2 linked regions of the Canis lupus familiaris genome follow. Each later gene encodes a partner of the first gene's protein in a complex. Links are inferred from orthologs where the notes say so. Each region holds a gene or a part of one and is shown in the gene's direction. Other genes may lie near its edges.

Evidence for each region.
Region 2: the proteins of GPSM2 (region 1) and NUMA1 are in contact, whole or in part, in a crystal structure (PDB 6HC2), measured with the Homo sapiens proteins. The link is inferred for Canis lupus familiaris from reciprocal best matches to the Homo sapiens genes GPSM2 and NUMA1. Residues at the interface, in NP_001307967.1 of Homo sapiens: Ala28, Leu29, Glu32, Cys35, Lys36, Phe47, Lys59, Thr60, Ser62, Ala63, Ile64, Ser66, Gln67, Asn70, Ala71, Phe73, Asn110, Lys113, Tyr146, His153, Lys157, Pro164, Gln165, Arg203, Gly206, Asn207, Asn210, Tyr213, Leu214, Arg228; in NP_006176.2 of Homo sapiens: Ser1901, Phe1902, Tyr1903, Met1904, Gly1905, Thr1906, Cys1907, Gln1908, Asp1909, Glu1910, Pro1911, Glu1912, Leu1914, Asp1916, Trp1917, Asn1918, Arg1919, Ile1920, Ala1921, Leu1923.

Annotation. Positions count from the first base shown.
Region 1 is NC_049227.1:43,298,258-43,307,724, reverse strand, and holds part of GPSM2 (G-protein-signaling modulator 2), read left to right. Parts: intron 1-1,330; coding exon 1,331-1,507; intron 1,508-3,914; coding exon 3,915-4,074; intron 4,075-5,307; coding exon 5,308-5,525; intron 5,526-9,467. UniProt on the Homo sapiens protein: Plays an important role in mitotic spindle pole organization via its interaction with NUMA1. Required for cortical dynein-dynactin complex recruitment during metaphase. Plays a role in metaphase spindle orientation.
Region 2 is NC_049242.1:26,187,493-26,196,834, forward strand, and holds the end of NUMA1 (nuclear mitotic apparatus protein 1), read left to right. Parts: intron 1-384; coding exon 385-495; intron 496-636; coding exon 637-855; intron 856-950; coding exon 951-1,108; intron 1,109-2,242; coding exon 2,243-2,489; intron 2,490-3,398; coding exon 3,399-3,627; intron 3,628-4,307; coding exon 4,308-4,444; intron 4,445-4,805; coding exon 4,806-4,982; intron 4,983-5,192; coding exon 5,193-5,306; intron 5,307-5,574; coding exon 5,575-5,796; intron 5,797-6,131; coding exon 6,132-6,143; 3' UTR 6,144-6,875; downstream 6,876-9,342. Other genes in the region: IL18BP (interleukin-18-binding protein), read right to left, coding at 7,349-7,438, 7,635-7,782, 7,880-7,995. UniProt on the Homo sapiens protein: Microtubule (MT)-binding protein that plays a role in the formation and maintenance of the spindle poles and the alignement and the segregation of chromosomes during mitotic cell division.

The DNA of each region.
Region 1 (9,467 bases):
TCTGAGGATTAAGTCCCTCATCAGGCTCCCTTGCAAGGAGCCTGCTTCTCCCTCTGCCTGTGTCTCTGCCTCTCTCTGTATCTCATGAATAAATAAATAAAATCTTTAAAAGGGAGAGAGAGAGAAGTCCAAATAAGTATATAGGAAACATTTAAAGTTTTTCACATTTCTACTTGGGATTTAGGTGTTCTAACATCTGGGGCCATTTACTGTCTCTAAAATCAGGAGACCTTGAAGTTCACTCCAGCAGTAGTATCACCTTCCCCTTATAACCTGTATAAGAAAAGGAACAGAGGGAGAGAAAAAAGCTTCATTTGATGCAGATAGCTTGGTTTCCTCACTAGCTGCCTGTCTCTCTGAGGTATGGTAGCCTGAGGGCAGGACCTAACTCTAATTTGTGCCTCATGAGGTAACTACAAAAAAAGCATGTTTTATCAAAATTATCAGTTATTACATAACATAGACCTTTGGATTTACTTACAAACAAGATTGAAATGTTAAAGTTGCAAATGTCACGTAGCTACTGTACATACTGTGTGTTTTCCTTTCTACTCAGTAAATATTTTTTATATTGAGTCTGTTTTTTAGAGGTTAAGTATATTTAAACCAGATCTAGGCCTATATAAATTGCTCATTAGATGGTTTTTGCCTGTTGAGAATTTAGTAGTTAGTGAAAACAAAAAGTATCACCAAAAAATTGCTACAGCTATGTAAGTTTTAGATATTAATTTCTACAGTTTAAAATTCTGCATATGTCCAAAATTTCCAGTTGTAACATTTTTAATTAACTCTTATCCAGAATAAAACTTGCTCTTTCCCTGACCAAATTTTATTTTATTTTAATTTTATTTTTAAGATTTTATTTATTCATTTATGAGAGACCACAGAGAGAGAGAGAGAGAGAGAGAGAGAGAGAGGCAGAGACACAGGCAGAGGGAGAAGCAAGCTCCACGCAGGGAGCCTGATATGAGACTTGATCCCAGGTCTCCAGGTTCATGCCCTGGGCTAAAGGCAGGCGCCAAACCGCTGAGCCACCCAGGGGTCCCCTCAAATTTTATTTTTATGGGATTTTGGCAAACTCTGTTTTATTACTCTTAAGTTCTTAAAAGTCACCATTTTAATGTTTTGATAATGAGAAGTCCACAGTATACGTTTGGTATAAGCTGTTGAAAATAGAAATACTGGCAAAAAGGAATTTATTAAGAGATCTAAGCTGCCCCACACACAAAATGGGCGGTGAAGACAGGTAAGACAGGTTAATATTATAGAAAACCAAAGATAGCTCTGTTTTTTCATGCCCTGCTTTCCATTTATGTTTATAATTTTATAGGTACAGAACTGGAACAGTGAAATTCTTGCTAAACAAAAGCCTCTTATTGCCAAACCTTCTGCAAAGTTGCTCTTTGTCAACAGATTAAAGGGGAAAAAGTGCAAAACTAATTCCTCCACTAAAGTTCTCCAGGATGCCAGTAATTCCATTGATCGCCGAATTCCAAATTCTCAGAGGGTACGTATAATAATAAGTTTTTGAGTGTTGTGCTTCAAATATCTACATTTTAGTTTTCTTGTATTCAGACTGAATATTCCGTAATTTGTATTAGACATTTAATACAAAATACTGTTTTTATTCAAAGAAGTCTTGCATATTTCCCTATCTTTTCTTTTTCAAGCTAGAAACTATAATTACTCCATTCATGGATATGTTGCTTTACTACTTTGGATAGTAATTGTTTGTCATTGTTTGCAAAAATACTATCTTTTTTTTTTTTTTTTTTTTTTTTACTGCAGTGTCTCCCAGTAAAACTGTCCTTCTTTCAGTTTAGAAGTTAGAACAAATTAAACTTAGAGGTTGAAGGATTTTAAAATACTAATTTAAGATAGTATCTGCTAGCATCAATTTCTATTTATTTATACTGAAATTATAATAGAATTAAAAACTATTTTGATGAAAAGTGATCACAGGACTCAGATTACTAAATATAACTATATAATATTTTATTTCTAAATATCAGAAGTATCTTTAATTAAGCTAACCTGCACTCTGATAAAAGAATCAAAATAAATCACAAAGATGATACGTCAAATTATCAAGTCCATTTTTCAATGAGAGCTTTTGGAAAACTTATGGTAGTCTTTTTCTTTCTTTCTTTCTTTCTTTCTTTCTTTCTTTCTTTCTTTCTTTCTTTCTTTCTTTCTTTCTTTCTTTCTTTCTTTCTTTCTTTTCTTTCTTTCTTTCTTTTCTTTCTTTTCTTTCTTTCTTTCTTTCTTTCTTTCTTTCTTTCTTTCTTTCTTTCTTTCTTTCTTTCTTTTCTTTCTTTCTTACAGCTTTCTTTTGGTTCTCTTATCAGCATTCCACCTATGTCTGTACCCTGGTGGTGTCCTTTGTCTTGATTTTTATCAGTAGTTTTTTCCAAGTGTATGACTAACAAAAGGAAATATTATGGGGTATATAATGGACCATGAATATTTTTTTAGACCTAGAGCAGATCTCAGAGGCATACCTTTGTTCAAGGTTTGAGGTCTTAACTAAGCCCACTTAGCCCAACTGAAAATGTCCATACTTCTGAGGCCTCCCTGTGTTTTGATGTTCAGTATTTTGAATTCAAGCCTTTTTTGCCCCTAGGAAAGTCTTGTGAGTGATTACAAGTGCATCTGACTACAGCTTATGTACATACTTAATCCCAGTCCTCAAACTAAACATGTTAAGAACTGTACTCTGAACCCCTCCTGTTTCCCTTAATATATGCCATGTTCTCTGTCCCCCAGGTTAGGAACCCAGGTGTCATTCTAGACTCCCTCTTTTCACTAACCACATCCAGTCAATCCCTGCATCCCTCAGATCTGCCTCCGGCCCCTTCTTTCTGAAAATAAACCTCTGCTGCTATGTATGTCATAGTCCTTAGTGCATTACTGTATCTCTTACCCAGATGTTTGGAATAGGCAACTGAGCTGATTGCTTTCCCTGCATTAACCTCTGCAGCCATTTGGAGGGGCCAGTTCTGTTTCTGTTCAAAGCTGCTTAAAATTATTATTACCAATGCTCCTCTTACTTCATATAGGATAACTTGTTAGTATGTCATACAGAGGCTCTTGTTTGGTGGCCTCTTCCCACCTCTTCACCTCTCCTACCCCCTTTAGTTCATTATCCCCTGAATACTACAAACTTTTAGCATCGCATATTAATCACTATGAAGCATATACCTGTAAATGTGAATTCATTCTTCAGGAGCCAATTCAAATATCACAGTTTCCCTAAAGGATTAGTTTTGCCCGTCTCCTGAAGCCTATAATTTTTTATATAAATGTACCTCTACCATAATACTTATATCATTATGAAAAACAAAATATTTTTTATTAAACATTGCATCTGTCATTTTAAGCTTTGAAGTTTCCAAGTAAAGTATGACGGGTTTCCTTCTGCCCTAAATATTTATTTATATGAGGTTTATGTTTTTTTAAAGAGCTTCAAATCTTTAAATATAGTAAAGGACCTTGGAAAATCACTATGCTTTGTTAGTTTTAAGTTCTTAGAGAGATTAATTTACTTTTAAATTCTTTTGTAGAATCTTAAAACTGAACTTTGAGCCTAGGATCACTTAATTTTTATATAAATCTTTTAGTATCTGAAGTAGTTCCCCAGAGTCTGAGGTACATTTCTTTAGCCTTAGAAATTACAAGGATTAAAAATTAAAATACATAACTAGAATAAATAAAATATAACGAGAAATGCTTTTTATTAGTTGGATTGAAATAACTTTATTATCAAGGTTGCCATCTTGAAATCTTTATAATGAAAATGTCAATTTTTATTTTTAATCTTCATCCTTTATCTTTTGCATATGTATCATGATTTTGCTCCATTGATGATGTGATGATAATGCTGGAATATTAAGATTTTTCTCTCAATATTTCAGAAAGTCAGTACAGATACTATTGGAGATGAAGGGTTCTTTGACCTGGTAAGCCGATTTCAGAGCAATCGGATGGATGATCAGAGGTGCTGTTTACAGGAACAGAGCTGTGGGCCAGCTTCAACTGCAGCGTCTTCCACTCCCCCTAGAGTGATGCTTAAAAGTGAGTAATTGTGGTTCTCCCCCAATTTTAATAGTTTCCTTTGATATTCGTGTGATTTCTTTCTGAGAGTTCAGTTTTCTTCAGTGCAAGTACAGTAAATGAACCTGAACCCAGGTGTATCTGAAATGCTGGTATTTCTTCAGTTCAGAACAAAGTTTTGTTTCAGTTCCCCTAGGTTTATTTGTATTTTAGTTCAGTGCACTTTCAACTAACTGTAACATACTGTCTCCTTAGAGTCTTTGGGACTGGGAAAAAAATCTAACTTTAAAAGTAAAAATAGTAAAGGGAAAAATTTAAGTTATACATACCTTATAATTCTGTGTAAATCACAAATGCTTCCTATCTGGATTTTTATTTTTATTTTTTTTTTAAATTTTTATTTATTTATGATAGTCACAGAGAGAGAGAGAGAGAGAGAGAGGCAGAGACACAGGCAGAGGGAGAAGCAGGCTCCATGCACCGGGAGCCCGATGTGGGATTCGATCCCGGGTCTCCAGGATCGCGCCCTGGGCCAAAGGCAGGCGCCAAACCACTGCGCCACCCAGGGATCCCCCTATCTGGATTTTTAAAAAGCCAAGACAGACTGAGGAGAAACCTATGACTAAGGCGGAAGCTAAGGCCTGCCTGAGCCTTAGAAGGGTTACTTAAAATTTTCTACTTCAGCTACCAAAAGACTTCCTCTGCCATAGACTAGGACTTAACTCTTAGTTAGCTAAATGGTTCCTATCCAGGGCATAGAATAAAGACTGTCTCATTCATCCTCACGTGAGAAATGATATAAGACAATGTATTACCTTCTGAAATCTAGCCCCAGATCTTGTAGAGTTATCTTTTTGGGGGGCAGTAGGCTCCATGCCCAGCATAGAGCCCAACACAGGGCTCAAACTCAACGACCATAAGATCAAGACCTGAGCTGCGATCAAGAGTTGAACACCTAACTGACTGAGCCACCTAGGCACCCCTTGTAAAGTTATATTTTGAGTGGGCATAGATAAAAAGAAATATAGTCTAATCTGAATAACCTTTAAGTGGATCATCTGAAGTACTCTGGGATTTGTTCTTCCCTACCTGCCCATATCATAGGCCCCAGTGTATCAGTGACTCTCAGTGACAAAGCTAAAGCAGGGGGACAGAGTGGATGTTGGGACTGAACAAGGCTGAAAGGAACTATATGTATATTAAAAATATGCTTAAATATTTTTGTGATGTTACGGATTTTTTTCCTATTCATAGCACCATCTGTTTCCATGGTGTCCCCCAACACGGATGAGTTTTTAGACCTTCTTGCCAGCTCACAGAGCCGCCGTCTTGATGACCAAAGGGCCAGTTTCAGTAATTTGCCAGGGCTTCGTCTAACACAAAACAACAATAAGTCTGTACTTGGCCACCTGATGACTAATGACAACAAAGAGCCTGATGAAGATTTCTTTGACATCCTTGTAAAATGTCAAGTATGTATGCATATTTTTGTCATTCTGTGTATGGCTCAGATACTGTTGAGAGCTTTGGCAGTATTATAATTCTAATCTGGGAAGGGCTTATTTTGTATTAGGGACACACTTACCATTCAGGGGTCCATCAGACTCTTTAGATTCCTATGATAGTTTCTTTGTATCATTTTGGGTGGTAAGGCAAGATGAGATGTTGCTGATGACTCTGAGCTGTGGTGGAGAGGAAATTATGAAAGGTAGGGAAGGAGACCTAGAAAAGACACCCTCTTTTATCAATGGTAGGAGAGAGTATCAGGAAAAGCCAGTGATTAATGGGGAGAGTCTAGCGGGAGCCCTTTCTAGACTGCTTTAGGAGAAATTCACATACCAAGATAGCTTTCGTTTTTAGTTATTTTAATAATTATTTGCCAAAATGGTTAAGGAATATCTCAAATGGCTTGAATAGAACCAGAAAAATAATCCTTATTTTCACTAAAGAGACATTTCCTCTGTCTGACCCTGATTCTGTGTGTTTTCTCATTCATAAAAAGATGAGGTAATGACATAATGACACATACATACTACCTACCTCTCATTCATTCAACAGAAAATTATTGAGCGTACACTGTGTTCTTGGCACTAGTCTAGACATTTGAGACACATACTTGGCCTTTAAAGGAGCCTACATTTTAGGATCCTTTAGGAGAGACAGTAAATAAGTCTGTACATATGTATAGATATTATATGTTAGACACTGATACTTGCTATAAAGAAAATTAAAGCCACATAAAGGAGTAAGGTATCTAGTGGTGGTGGTGGTTAGGGAAGATGTTCCATGTGAACAGAGATCTGAATGAGGCAAAACAGCCATGTGAATATTTAGTGGAAGCATTCCATGCAGACACAGCAAGTCTCTTCTTGGCTATAAAAGCTTAGCAGGTTCAAGGAATGGCAAGGTTGCCAGTATGACCGGTGTGGAGTGAATAAAGGGTAAGGGAGAGCAGTAGGAGATGAGGATGGAGAAAGAACCAGCCTAGATCTTATAGGCTATGATGAGGTCTTGTATCCCAAATGTGATAGTAAGACATTGGAGGGTCTGGAAGATCATCCCAGCTACTGCTGAAAGTATGTGAAGTGCCAAAGAGTTAGTAGGAAAACTAGCTAAAAAACCAGTATGGGGGGATACCTGGGTGGCTCAGTGGTTGAGCATCTGCCTTTGGCTTGAGGCATGATCCTGGAGTTCTGGGATCAGGTCCCACATTGGGCTTCCTGCGTGGAGCCTGCTTCTCCCTCTGCCTGTGTCTCTGCCTCTCTCTCTGTGTCTTTCATGAATAAATAAATAAAATCTTGAAAAAAGAAAAGAAAGAAAACCAACATGGGTAATTCAGGGAAAAGATACTGGTGACTTTGACTAGTGTAATGGTGTTAGGAGAGATGATAAGTAGCAGTTGAAATAGGGATATATTTTGAAGTTATGGTTGGATTGGAAAGACCTATTAATAAATGGATGGGAGTTATAAGAAAGAAAAATAATCAAAGAGGGTTCCAACCTTGTTGGCTTTGAACAACTGAATCTGTGAATGGTACAGTTTACTGAAATGGAGAAGTCAAAGGAGAAAGAGGTTTGGGAAGAAAAAGCAGGAGATGTACTTTAGGTAGATAAATTTGAGTTATGTAAGTAGATACTCAAGTGGAGATGTTGAATAAGCAATTGGATATATAAAAATCTGGAGCCCCAGAGAGAAAAGACTTGGGGAGTCATCCGCTATATACTGATGACTGGTATATAGCTGGTATTAAAGCTTTGGGAAGATAGTATCTAAAGAATAGATAAGGAAACACGAAGACTAAGCTCTGGGCATTACAAAATTGAACGGAATAGAGGAAGATAAGCCAGCAAAGCAGCCATCAGCCTGGAGGAATGCTTTCACTAAATATTCACATGGCTGTTTCACCTCATTCATATCTCTGTTCACATGCCAGTCCTGGAACATCTTCCTTAACCACCAACACCCCTAGATACCCTACTCCTTTATATGGCAAAGTGTTTTAAGGAATGTTGAACTCTGTCAAACGCTGCTAAGAAGCCAACTAAGATGATGGCTGATCTAGATTTGGCAACATGCAGATTATTAGTCATTTTGAAAGACACTGTTTTAGGGACATGATGGGGACACAGGATTGAGGAGGTTGAAAACATGGAAAGCGTGAAGGGGGAAATAGTAAACATAGGATAGAGGTGGGGTTTTTTTTTCTTATTTTGGGAGTTAATACTGCATGTCTCTTGATGTAAATGATCAAGTAGAGGGAAGAACCAGTGATGCAGCAGAATATGGGATAATTGAAGTTTTTGTGCAGGTGAGAAGGAAAGCAGAATATATATATATATATGTTTACAGATTTAGAGATAGGTGTAGATAGGACTTCTCTCTGGTTGTTTTTATTTTCTTAGCAAAGTAAGAAGTAGGGACATAATTGGAGATTGGGGTTGAAGCATTGTGATTTTGAAGAAGTTACTTTGAGAAACTGAAAGCATATTGACCAGGGAAAAGTAATAGGATTATTGAGCTACCCTGAGGACTCATTTGAAATTCACTGTCACTGAAGTAAGACAGGTCAGTACAGTGGTGTATTTTCTCGAGGCATAACCAGTTACTTAAGGATACAGAGATTTAATCAAGGTCAGTATTTTGACAGAATAGGATGGAGGGAGAGAGAAACACATGCCAGGGAATGATTTTAATAAGGGACTTGAAATCTAGGCTGCATCTAAGAAGGGAAAGTAAGGAAATGAAAGGTTTAGAAGTGAAAAGTAACAGTGATCCCATGGGTTTTTAAAAAAATTCTAAAGACCCATAACTAATTACAGACCATCAGATAGATATAAATGAAGCAAAAACTGACAGCATTAAAGGGAGAAGTGAACATTTCTACAAAAATAGTTGGAGCACCCTCTCTCAATAATAAGTAGGACAGCCAGGCAGATGATAAAATGAACAACACAATAAACCAGCTAGTTCTTATAGAACATACTTTTCTCTCTCTCTCTCTCTCTCTCTCTCTCTCTCTCTCTCTTTTTTTTTTTTTTTTTTTTTTAAGATTTTAGTTATTCATGAGAGACACAGAGAGCTGGCAGAGACACAGGCAGAGGGAGAAGCAGACTCCCTCCAGGAGAGCTCAATGTGGGACTTGAGACCAGGACCCTGGGATCACACCCTGAGCCAGAGACAGATGCTCAACCACTGAGCCACTCAGGCATCCCCAGAACATATATTCTTCTCAAGTGCATATGGAATATTCTCCAGGATAGCTCAGATGTTAGGCCACAAAAGAAGTCTCAAAATTTTAAAAGATAGATATCATATAGAGTATCTTCTCTGACCATAACAGGATGAAGTTAGAAGCAATAACAGAAGAAAAAATGGAGAATTCACAAATTTGTGGGAATTAATGGGCAGAGAAAAATCACAAGGGAAATTAAAAAATACCTAGAGACTGATGAAAATGAAAACACAATATTCCAAAACTCTGGGATGTAGTGAAGGTAGTACTTAGGAATTTTATAGCTGTAAATGTTTACAATAAAAAAGATCTCAAATCAACAGCCTAAAGCTTTAGACCTTAAGGGGCTAGAAAAAGAACAAACTAAATCTAAAGTTAGCACAAGGAAGGAAACGGAGAACAGAAAAATAGAAAAAAATAAAACCTTAAACCTGGTTATTTGAAAAGTTTAACAACTGGTAAACATTGAATACAACTGGTAAACATTTAACTAGGGGAAGGAAAAGGGCAGGCTCAAATTACTAAAATTAGAACAAAAGAGGGGACATTACTCTTATTCTACAGAAATAAAAAGAATTTTAGGAGAATACTATGAATGATTATGTGCCAACAAGTTGGATAACCCATATGAAATGGACTTAAATAACTAGAAACACAAAATCAACCAACACTAAATCATGA
Region 2 (9,342 bases), on another chromosome or scaffold:
TGTGCTCTCCACCCAGGTGTTCCTGAGGCTCAGTTTGCTGGGGAGTGGGGGAGTCTCCCTGGGTCATGGTGATGTTGGAGGAGAGAGAATGAGACAGTTTGGGCCTGGTAGCAAAGAAGGCAAAGATAGGGGGCTGTCAGAACTCTGCCAGAAAGGGCAGTAGCTGGATAGCGAAAGTTCTTACAGAGTATGGACCTCGAGAGGTGTGTGGTGTGTCATTAGGTGGGAGTTGGGGGCAGAGGTAAAAGGATTTTTTGTGCCTGTCCTGAGAGAATATGTAAGAGTCTCAAAACACCCATGGGGCCCAGGAGGCTAGGGCAAGTTCATGATTTGGGTAGGGCGGCCAGATCAGCCACCCCAATCGGCATTTGTCTTGCTTTCTAGGCCCAGGGAGGTGAGAGCCAGCAAGAGGCCCAGCGCCTCCAGGCTCAGCTGAGTGAGCTGCAGGCCCAGCTGAACCAGAAGGAACAGGCAGCGGAGCACTACAAGCTACAGGTGAGCCCCCCGCCCTTCCCCTCTACCCACCGCCGCCCCCCCGCCCCCCCCCCCCCGCCCCCAGCCATGCTACTGCCTGCCCATTGCTTCCCCAGTCCCCGCCCCTCACCACCACCCCTCCCGCCCTGTCTGCCCATGTAGATGGAGAAAGCCAAGACCCACTATGATGCCAAGAAGCAGCAGAACCAAGAGCTGCAGGAGCAGCTCCGGGGCCTGGAGCAGGTGCAGAAGGAGAACAAGGAGCTTAGGGCTGAGGCTGAGCGGCTGGGCCGGGAGCTCCAGCAGGCCGGGCTGAAGACCAAGGAGGCTGAGCAGACCTGCCGTCACCTTAGCGCCCAGGTGCGCAGCCTAGAGGCACAGGTAAGCATCTGCTGGGACGGAGCCCTGTGCCCCCCTCTCCCAGGCTGCCGCTGACTGGGGCTTATCTTCATGCTGCTTTGCCCTCCCCTTCTCAGGTTGCTCACGCTGACCAGCAGCTTCGAGACCTGGGCAAGTTCCAGGTGGCAACTGACGCCCTAAAGAGCCGAGATCCCCAGGCTAAGCCTCAGCTGGACTTAAGTATTGACAGCCTGGATTTGAGCTGCGAGGAGGGGACTCCCCTCAGTGTCACCAGGTGAGGCGGCACCCTGCCTCCTTCCTGTCCATGGACTGCCTGCTGTTTGTCAGGCTGTGTCCTGGGTCTAATGAGGCAAAGATGTAGTCTCTTTGCCCTCTGGGAGCTTATCTGTAGAGAAGAAAAAGGAGAAATGGTCACAGGTGTTAGGCCAGATGTTTGTACAGGGTACAATGGGAGTGAAAAGAAACCCAAGCGGTCAGAAGGCTGTCACTCCTGCCTGCAGCCTGCAGAGTTGCTGAAGGCCTATGTGCCTGGGGAATAGAGGGCAGAGGCCAAGAAAGAACCTGGCTGGGATCCCCAATGAAGTTTAGACTTGATCCTAAAGGCATCAGTGAAGGACCTGGGAGGGGTCTGAAATTAAGGACTATGTGGACCAGTTGGCATCTTAGAAAGATTATTTTGACAGCCAGCGTAGAAACTGAGAAACTGTCGGTACTCTTAGGAGAACACTTTAAAAACATCAGTGCATTTATTTAGCCCTCACAGTCCTCTGTGAGGACTGATTATCTCTTTAACAGATGATACTGGGGCAGAGGGGCAGTCATTTGCCCAAGGTCCCACGGTGGCAGAGGTAGGCTTGAACCGGGCCAGGCTGGCTTGAGTCCTTGCTTATCACTGAGCTAGTGCCTCCTCTCAGGTGCCACTAAGTCTAGGTGAGGGGAGATGAGGTGGACCAGGCCAAGGACACCAGAGCAGACTGGGGTGTGGTTAGGTGACTTGTGTAGGTGGGCAGGAGGGAAGTGGTAGGTCTTTGCCCATGTTCATGGATGGCTGGAGGTGTCCAGCTGGAGGCTGCTCCCATTCACTGAAGTAGGAGATGCAGGAGGAACAGATGGGTGGACTTCGTTTGGAGATGTTCACTGCGGAGCTGAGTGTCCGGGGCGGGGTGGATGGGGATGTCTGGGACAGTGGAGTCCAGGAGTTGCCAGTGTTCAGGAGCTCAGAGAGCCACTGGAGTAGATGGGCTCACCAGGAATGGAGAATGGGGTGAAGGGAGGGCCCAGGGCAAAGACTCTTCCCTGGTGCCTCTCAAAAGTCAGAGTGAGAGTGGGGTGCTTGACCTGGTCTGCTTATAAATGTAGGAATTGGCCACTTTGGATCAAAGGAATGAACAAAATGTTTTTTCCACAGCAAGCTGCCCCGAACCCAGCCAGATGGTACCAGCATCCCCGGAGAGCCAGCCTCGCCCATCTCCCAGCGCTTGCCCCCCAAGGTAGAATCCCTGGAGTCTCTCTACTTCACCCCCATCCCTGCTCGGGGTCAGGCCCCACTGGAGAGCAGCCTGGACTCCCTGGGGGACGGCTTCCTGGACTCAGGCCGGAAGACACGCTCTGCTCGTCGGCGCACCACACAAATCATCAACATCACCATGACCAAGGTCAGGCCGCTGGGAGTGGGGCTGCAGGACAGTGCCCTTCCTTGCTCGTAAGGGCGTCTTTCCCATTGGGCCCTCACAACACCCTCCAGAGACGGGCAGGGCTGACTAGTCCATATCTTACAGATGGAAAAGCTAAGACCCCAAGCAGTACAAGGATAGGTGAGGCCTCTTTTGTAGGAAGGGGCAAGGTTAGACCTGGATGCCTCCTGGCTTGGAGGCACTGATCCTGTGCAAGCCGGAGGGAGAGGGAAGTCGTAGCCTCACCCCGGGCCTCCACGCCTCCGAGGTAGCTGCCGTGCACTGTGGCCCCCGCAGAGGGCTGCTCGCCAGGCTGCGGGCTCTGACTGGCCCTTGTCTCCGTATCCTGAGGAGGTTGGGGGGTACGGCAGAGGTCCCCTCTTGTGTGTGGGTTGCCCTTGCTACCAGGAAGCTGGAGAACTACACAATGGGCAGGGCGCTGGCAGGCTTGGGTTGAAGGACGGCAGAAGCTGTGGGAGGAGCCTGATGGCCCCGAGAGACAAGCAGGGGACAAGCAAGCATTGCAGCCCCAGCTCAGCCCTTGCTAGCTGTGGCCTGGAGGTTGATCACTTATTTCCTTGCACTTGGATTCTAAAATGATCTGCTACATACTCTGCCTTCTGCTACTACTATGCACTGTCAGTAGGCAAGAGAAAATGAGGTCACCTCAGCACCTAGTGTAGGAATCTTAGTCCCCAAGCCGAGTTCTTACACATGTGCAGCTAAGGATCCGGGGGGGGGGGGGGGGGGGGGAGGGCAGGGCACGGGACGGGACATGACACACAGTGTGGTGCTGGGATGTGAGGCGCTCAGGGGAGGGGAACAGGCAGCCTCGGCATGGGTTCATGGGTTGTCAGGACTCCGCCCCACCACTTTCATTCTCTCTTCCAGAAGCTAGACGTGGAAGAGCCGGATAGTGCCAATTCCTCCTTCTACAGCACACAGTCGGCCCCTGCCTCCCAGGCCGGCCCACGCGCCACCTCTTCTACCCAGTCTCTAGCTCGCCTAGGCTCCCCTGATGACGGCAACTCGGCTCTGCTCAGCCTTCCTGGCTACCGGCCCACCACTCGCAGCTCTGCTCGCCGCTCCCAGGCTGGGGTGTCCAGTGGGGCCCCTCCAGGTGAGGGGACCAGAGGGGTTTTGCACACACAAAGATGAAGATGAGACGGGGAGGAGATCCTGGCACAGGAAAGAGACAAGCTTTCAAAACCCCGAGGCTGGTTGCCTTCCGGCTCCTCACCTGCCCCTCTTCCTTGCCGTCTCAGGGCCTTGCCTGTTGGTCCAGGGGCTCCGCTGGGCAGAGGGCGGGTGTTCATCTCAGCCAGGGTGAATGGGAACTGCTCACAGGGGGTGGGATTGCCAGTGTGACAGCGACACTCAGCTCCTGTTACCCCATCTCGTGGTAAGGGGTGCCAGAAGAGCCTTGCTGGGCCAGTGTTCTTAGATTCTTGTTGAAGGCTTTTGCCCTCAGGACCCCTAGATCTCAATTCCTTGTCCTTAATTAGTGCCTCTAAGATGTCACAGCCTCTGCAGATGAGCTCTTTGAACCTCCCCAGGGGGAGAGCAGTGAGCCAGCCCTGGTGGTAAAAATGGCCCGTGAGCCCCACTCCTGGATCTGCAGCACTGAGCAGAGCAGGACTCTGGGGCCCTAGGCTTGAAGTAGGTCCACACACAGGGACAGGAGTGGCGGATGCAACGGTTGGCACGGCACCAGGACCAGGGAATGACCCGCTGCCACTCTCCTCACTCTTCCTGGCCTTCCAGCCCCCCTGCTCCCATCTCCCTGCTCTCTCTCCACAGGAAGGAACAGCTTCTACATGGGCACTTGCCAGGATGAACCAGAGCAGCTGGATGACTGGAACCGCATCGCGGAGTTGCAGCAGCGCAACCGGGTGTGCCCCCCACACTTGAAGACCTGCTACCCCCTGGAGTCCAGGGTGAGCTCGGGCCCCATGCTGGCTCCCCTCCTCCTCCTCCCTTGGCACACCACCCCAATACTACCCACTGGCCCTAGTGCCCTGGGTCTCTGGCCTGCTGCAGAGGGTGACGGTGTGCTTCCAGTGGGTAGCTGGCACAGAGGGGCTCGGGGTGAAGTCCCCGTGGGCAGGCCTGAGTGTGTGGAGGAGGTCTGTTCCGGTCTCCTCCTGTGGCCATCGTGTAGGGCAGGAGAGAAGACAACAGGAAGGGAGGCCTGCGGCCCACGGGAAGGCTTGAGCTGCTGAGCTACTGTACGTGCCAGGCCCATGAGTTGTTCTGGGGCAGTTGTGCCCCACTGACCACTCCTTCCACCCCACACAGCCTTCCCTGAGCCTGGCTACCATCACAGATGAGGAGATGAAAACTGGCGACCCCCGGGAGACCCTGCGCCGAGCCAGCATGCAGCCGGCCCAGATAGCCGAGGGCACGGGCATCACCACCCGGCAGCAGCGCAAACGGGTCTCCTCAGAGCCCCACCAGGGCCCTGGTACCCCCGAGGTAGGTGGCCCTGGCTCCTTCTTTATTCCGTGTATAGCTTGCCCAGGCCAAGCCCCGCTACCCAAGTTTGAAAAGTGGATTAATAGAGAGTCTTCACTCTCCAGGGGCTCAATGCAGGGACGGTTGGGAAGGGAGGCGGTGTTGACTTACAGGCCCCCTTGGCTCTGAGAGACACGCCTGGCTCTGGATATGAACCTCTCTTCCCCATAGTCTAAGAAGGCCACCAGCTGTTTCCCACGCCCCATGACTCCCCGGGACCGACACGAAGGGCGCAAACAGAGCACTACTGAGGCCCAGAAGAAAGCCGCTCCGGTTGTTAAGCAGGTCAATGTGGGGGTGGCGGGGTGGATATGACACAGACGCCTGGGTGGCTCAGCCATTGAGTGCCTGCCTTCTGCCCTGGGATCAAGTCCCACATCAGGTTCCTTGCATGGAGCCTGCTTCTCCCTCTCCTTAGGTCTAGGTCTCTCTCATGAATTAAAAAAAAAAAAAAAAAATAGGTCAGTGCGGGAGGCTGGAGGGAGCCCCTGGAGGGACCTTGGTGGCAGGGCATGAACGCAGCCCAGTCTGACAGCCCCTCCCTCCCCAACAGGCTGACCGCCGCCAGTCAATGGCTTTCAGCATCCTCAATACACCCAAGAAGCTCGGAAACAGCCTGCTGCGGAGGGGAGCCTCAAAGAAAGCCCTGTCCAAGGCCTCCCCCAACACCCGTGGCGGGACCCGCCGCTCTCCACGCATCGCCACCACTGCAGCCAGCGCTGCCACGGCGGCTGCCATCGCTGCTGCCACTGCCACCCCTCGGGCCAAGGGCAAGGTGGAGGCACTGATGGGGAAGGGAAGTGGGTAGAAGTATGGCACACCCCCAGGCCACCCCTCGGGAGGTTTCCAAGGCAGGGCCCAGCTAGGCTGCTGGAGGTGGGCTAAATGTGGGCACTTCCTGTCTTGGTTACCTGCTCGTGGAAGAGAGGAGACCCAAGGCTGTTTAGGCACAGCCGGGATCCAATAATCTGCAAGTAGATGTGTCCAGGTCACCCCATGGAAGGGAAGGTAGTCAGGGGGCTTCAGGAGCTAAAAGAGGCCTCCTGCAGCCATCCGGTACAGGCTGGTATCACGAGTTGTCAGCCAAGTGATTGTGTTTCTCTCTTTTAGGCAAAGCACTAAAGGGCCAGGACCAGTGAGAGGCCCCACCTGTGTCCTCAATGCCGACCTCGCCTGGTCCTTTTCCTTCTGCTGTCCCTTTCAGTGCCTTCTCTCAGCTCCCAGGCCAAAAGTGGCCAAACCCGTAGAGACAGTGATGTCTGCCCACACCCCGGCCTGGTACCTCGATCTTCATTGGAGCCTTCACTAGGTGAACAGATGTGTCCTCAGAGTTGGCCCCAGAGGCCTGGAGAGTCTAGGTCTTCTCCCTACCTTGCCTCATGTTTTCATAAAGCAAAGTCGCTTGTCCATCACAACCAGACTTGAGGCCGGCTTTGAGCGGCTGGGCCTGAGGGCTGAGTCAGTCCTCCTCAGCCTCTGGATTCACAAGGGACCATTGGAGGAGCAGGCCCCAGTCCCTGCTGCTCCTGGTTCCCGAATCTAGCAGGGCCCTTTGCTTTTTGAAGTCCAGGACTTGGCATTGACCTAGTGGGTGCACCCAGAGGTTCTCCCATCCACCAAAAGGCTCAGATGCCCAGAGATGCTCTTTTCCAGAACAGATGGGTCCCATGCCTGTGTGTGGCAGCAGGGGCAGCAGGGTGGGGTCGGGGGGCCGCCTCAGCTGCCGCTTATTTCCCACCTTCCCCAGACTTCTACTGGGGTGGGATTTGGAGTGATGGGAAGGTTTTTAAGGGCCAGGGATGGATCTTTTCTAAATGTTATTACTTGTAAATAAAGTCTATTTTTCTCCCTTAAGTGCGGTCTGGGTCTGTGGGGGAAGGGGAAATGTAGGCTCTTTAGAGCACAAGTTTTCCAGACTACCTACCTTCTCCAATCCTTTCTCCTGGTCTTTCTGGGGCACCAGGATCTTTCCACACTTTCTCCTCTTTTGAAGGCTGGTATCCCCTGGTTTTGGCCTTTAGCTTCTGAATAACAGTCCCTCTTCCCACACTCCCTCCTAGAAGGAGCCAAGTTCTGTAAGTGGAATGATGGCTTAAATGACAGAGCAGATGCCTTCATTGACAAACCATTTATGCATGTCCCTGTGGGCCCTGCTGGGTGTGACAGAGACACAGCTGGGGACCAGACACAGCGTTCACCCCTGTCCCTTAGTGGGGACAGTGCATTAGAAGGAAAAAGGAAGAATACAACATGAAGGCAATGCCGGAGGAGGCCTGAGTTGTGAGAGCATGGAGACCTCAGTGAAGATGTGACGACTCAATTAGGCTTCAGAATTTCTCCGTCGTGATGAGGCGGGAGAGGGGGCTGCTGGAGGGTGGGGCTTCTTGGGTAGAAGGCGCCACAGTCTCCAGCCCAGCCTGGGGAAGAGAAGGCAGACAAGGGTCAGCGCCAAGGGTGGCTGACCTCTCGTCACCTTCCTCCAAGCCATGCCTCCCCTGCCCGAGTCCTGAACTCCACGGTGGACATTAGCTGGAGGCCACTCTGGGCAGAGCCCACCCTTTCCTCCCCATACTGCTCCTGCTGTCCGTGGAAACCTTCCCTCAGTTTTCTCACCCAGAGCTGGGCCAGGACAACATGCTGCTGGGTAGTGTGCGAGGGATCAGCAAAGACACAAGAGAAGTCGGTGTTGCGCAGGGTGGGGCTCAGCTCCTCTAGCACCAGAGTCCTCCGCAGCTGGGTGTGTTCACCCCTGGACTCCCTGCTAAAGAGGAGTGAAGGCCATGAGAGGATGGCAGAAGAAGCCCCTCTCCCCGCCCCCCTCCAACCATGTTGGCTGACCTCCCCACCGCACTCCTCACCTGGTGCTGCCCTCCCTCAGCCGACCTGGGAGGTGCTCGATGAAGGAGCCATTGCCCATCCAGAAGAGGATGTTGAAGGGAGAGCGGCTGCAGGCAGTACAGGACAAGGTCAGCATTCCATCTAAAGACACGTGTGGCTGTTAGCTCCCCTCTGCCGTGCTGCCCTGCCCCCAAGTCCCCCAGTCCCCACAATTCAGGAACCCAGAGTGCTGTTGTACGCACCACCCAGGTGGGGAAGTCCGTTAACTGGGAAGTGTACTTGTTTACAAGGGAGGCCCAAGGCTGAACAAAAGGGATCTGGGGATGGGTCCTTGGTTCAGGTGAGGACTCCTGAGCCTGTTTTCTTCAGGATGGCCTTTTCTAGTGTTCACCATTGGTGACTAAGAGCCCTGGCCAAGGAGGCGGCAGCAGGAGGCCACTGCTCTTCTGAGGTGGCCAGCGAGTGAGGGGGCTGGAGACTGGAGTCGGGGTGGGCAGGCGGGCCTTGTAACGTATTGCAGTCAAGGCCCTGGGGCCCTCTGACCATCCTTGTGTCTGAACTCTTTCCATCCCACCGGATAGGGAGCATCTCAGGAGCTGGGCCCTGTACCCACACTCACTCGGAGGGAACATGCCGAGTGCTCTAGCAGGCTGGCCTGGCTGGTGGGGCTACATGGCAGTAGGTGGGGTAGGGTGGGAAGCTCGGGAATCAACCCCACCCTTGGACTCTCTGTGCCCCAAACCCACCCCTGCCCACTATGTCCTTTGGGGCTTCCATCAGAATTGCTCCTTACTCAGCGGGACTTCCACTTCTGGCCCGGTCACCTCCAGTGCTGGGCACTGCTTAGCTGTCAGGAGCCAGGAGAGGCAGGAGTCCTTTGTGATCCCAGCTGAGGCAGCAGCAGTGGCCTGAGGTACAGGTGTGGCTCCAGCCAGGTGACAGAACATGTGCACACACAAAAGCAGGACCCGCAAAGGGCTGGGATCTGAGAGCAGGACACAAAGGCCAGGGCTGTCTGCTAGGAATGCTCAACATCCTGGCCTGGACACACTCTGGCGCAGAGATACCTGGGCTCTGCACAGGGGGTCAGAGGAGCAGAAGGGTTCCTCAGGCCCCGCATGTTGGAATGGAGCGCAGGGAGACTTAGGGACTGGAGCCAGAACCACAGCATCTGGACACAGGCTGAAAGCCGTAACAGCAGAATGGAGTTCCCTCGGGGGGGAAGGCTCAGGGCCGCCTGCACGGCTCCCTTCTGTTCTCAAATCCCACCCCCCACCCCCGACCCCCCGCCCATGCCAGCCCCAGGTCCCACCTGATGTCCAGTTCTGTCTCATGGTCTTGACGGATGTGTCAAGAGCTGGCGTGCCTGGCTCTATTTATCTGTGACCACTTCCTCCTCTCTCGAGCTGGGGGCGGAAGAGAATGTAAATCAACCATTTATCTCACATCTCTGGCTTGCCTGGATCCCAGCCATTTGTATGGG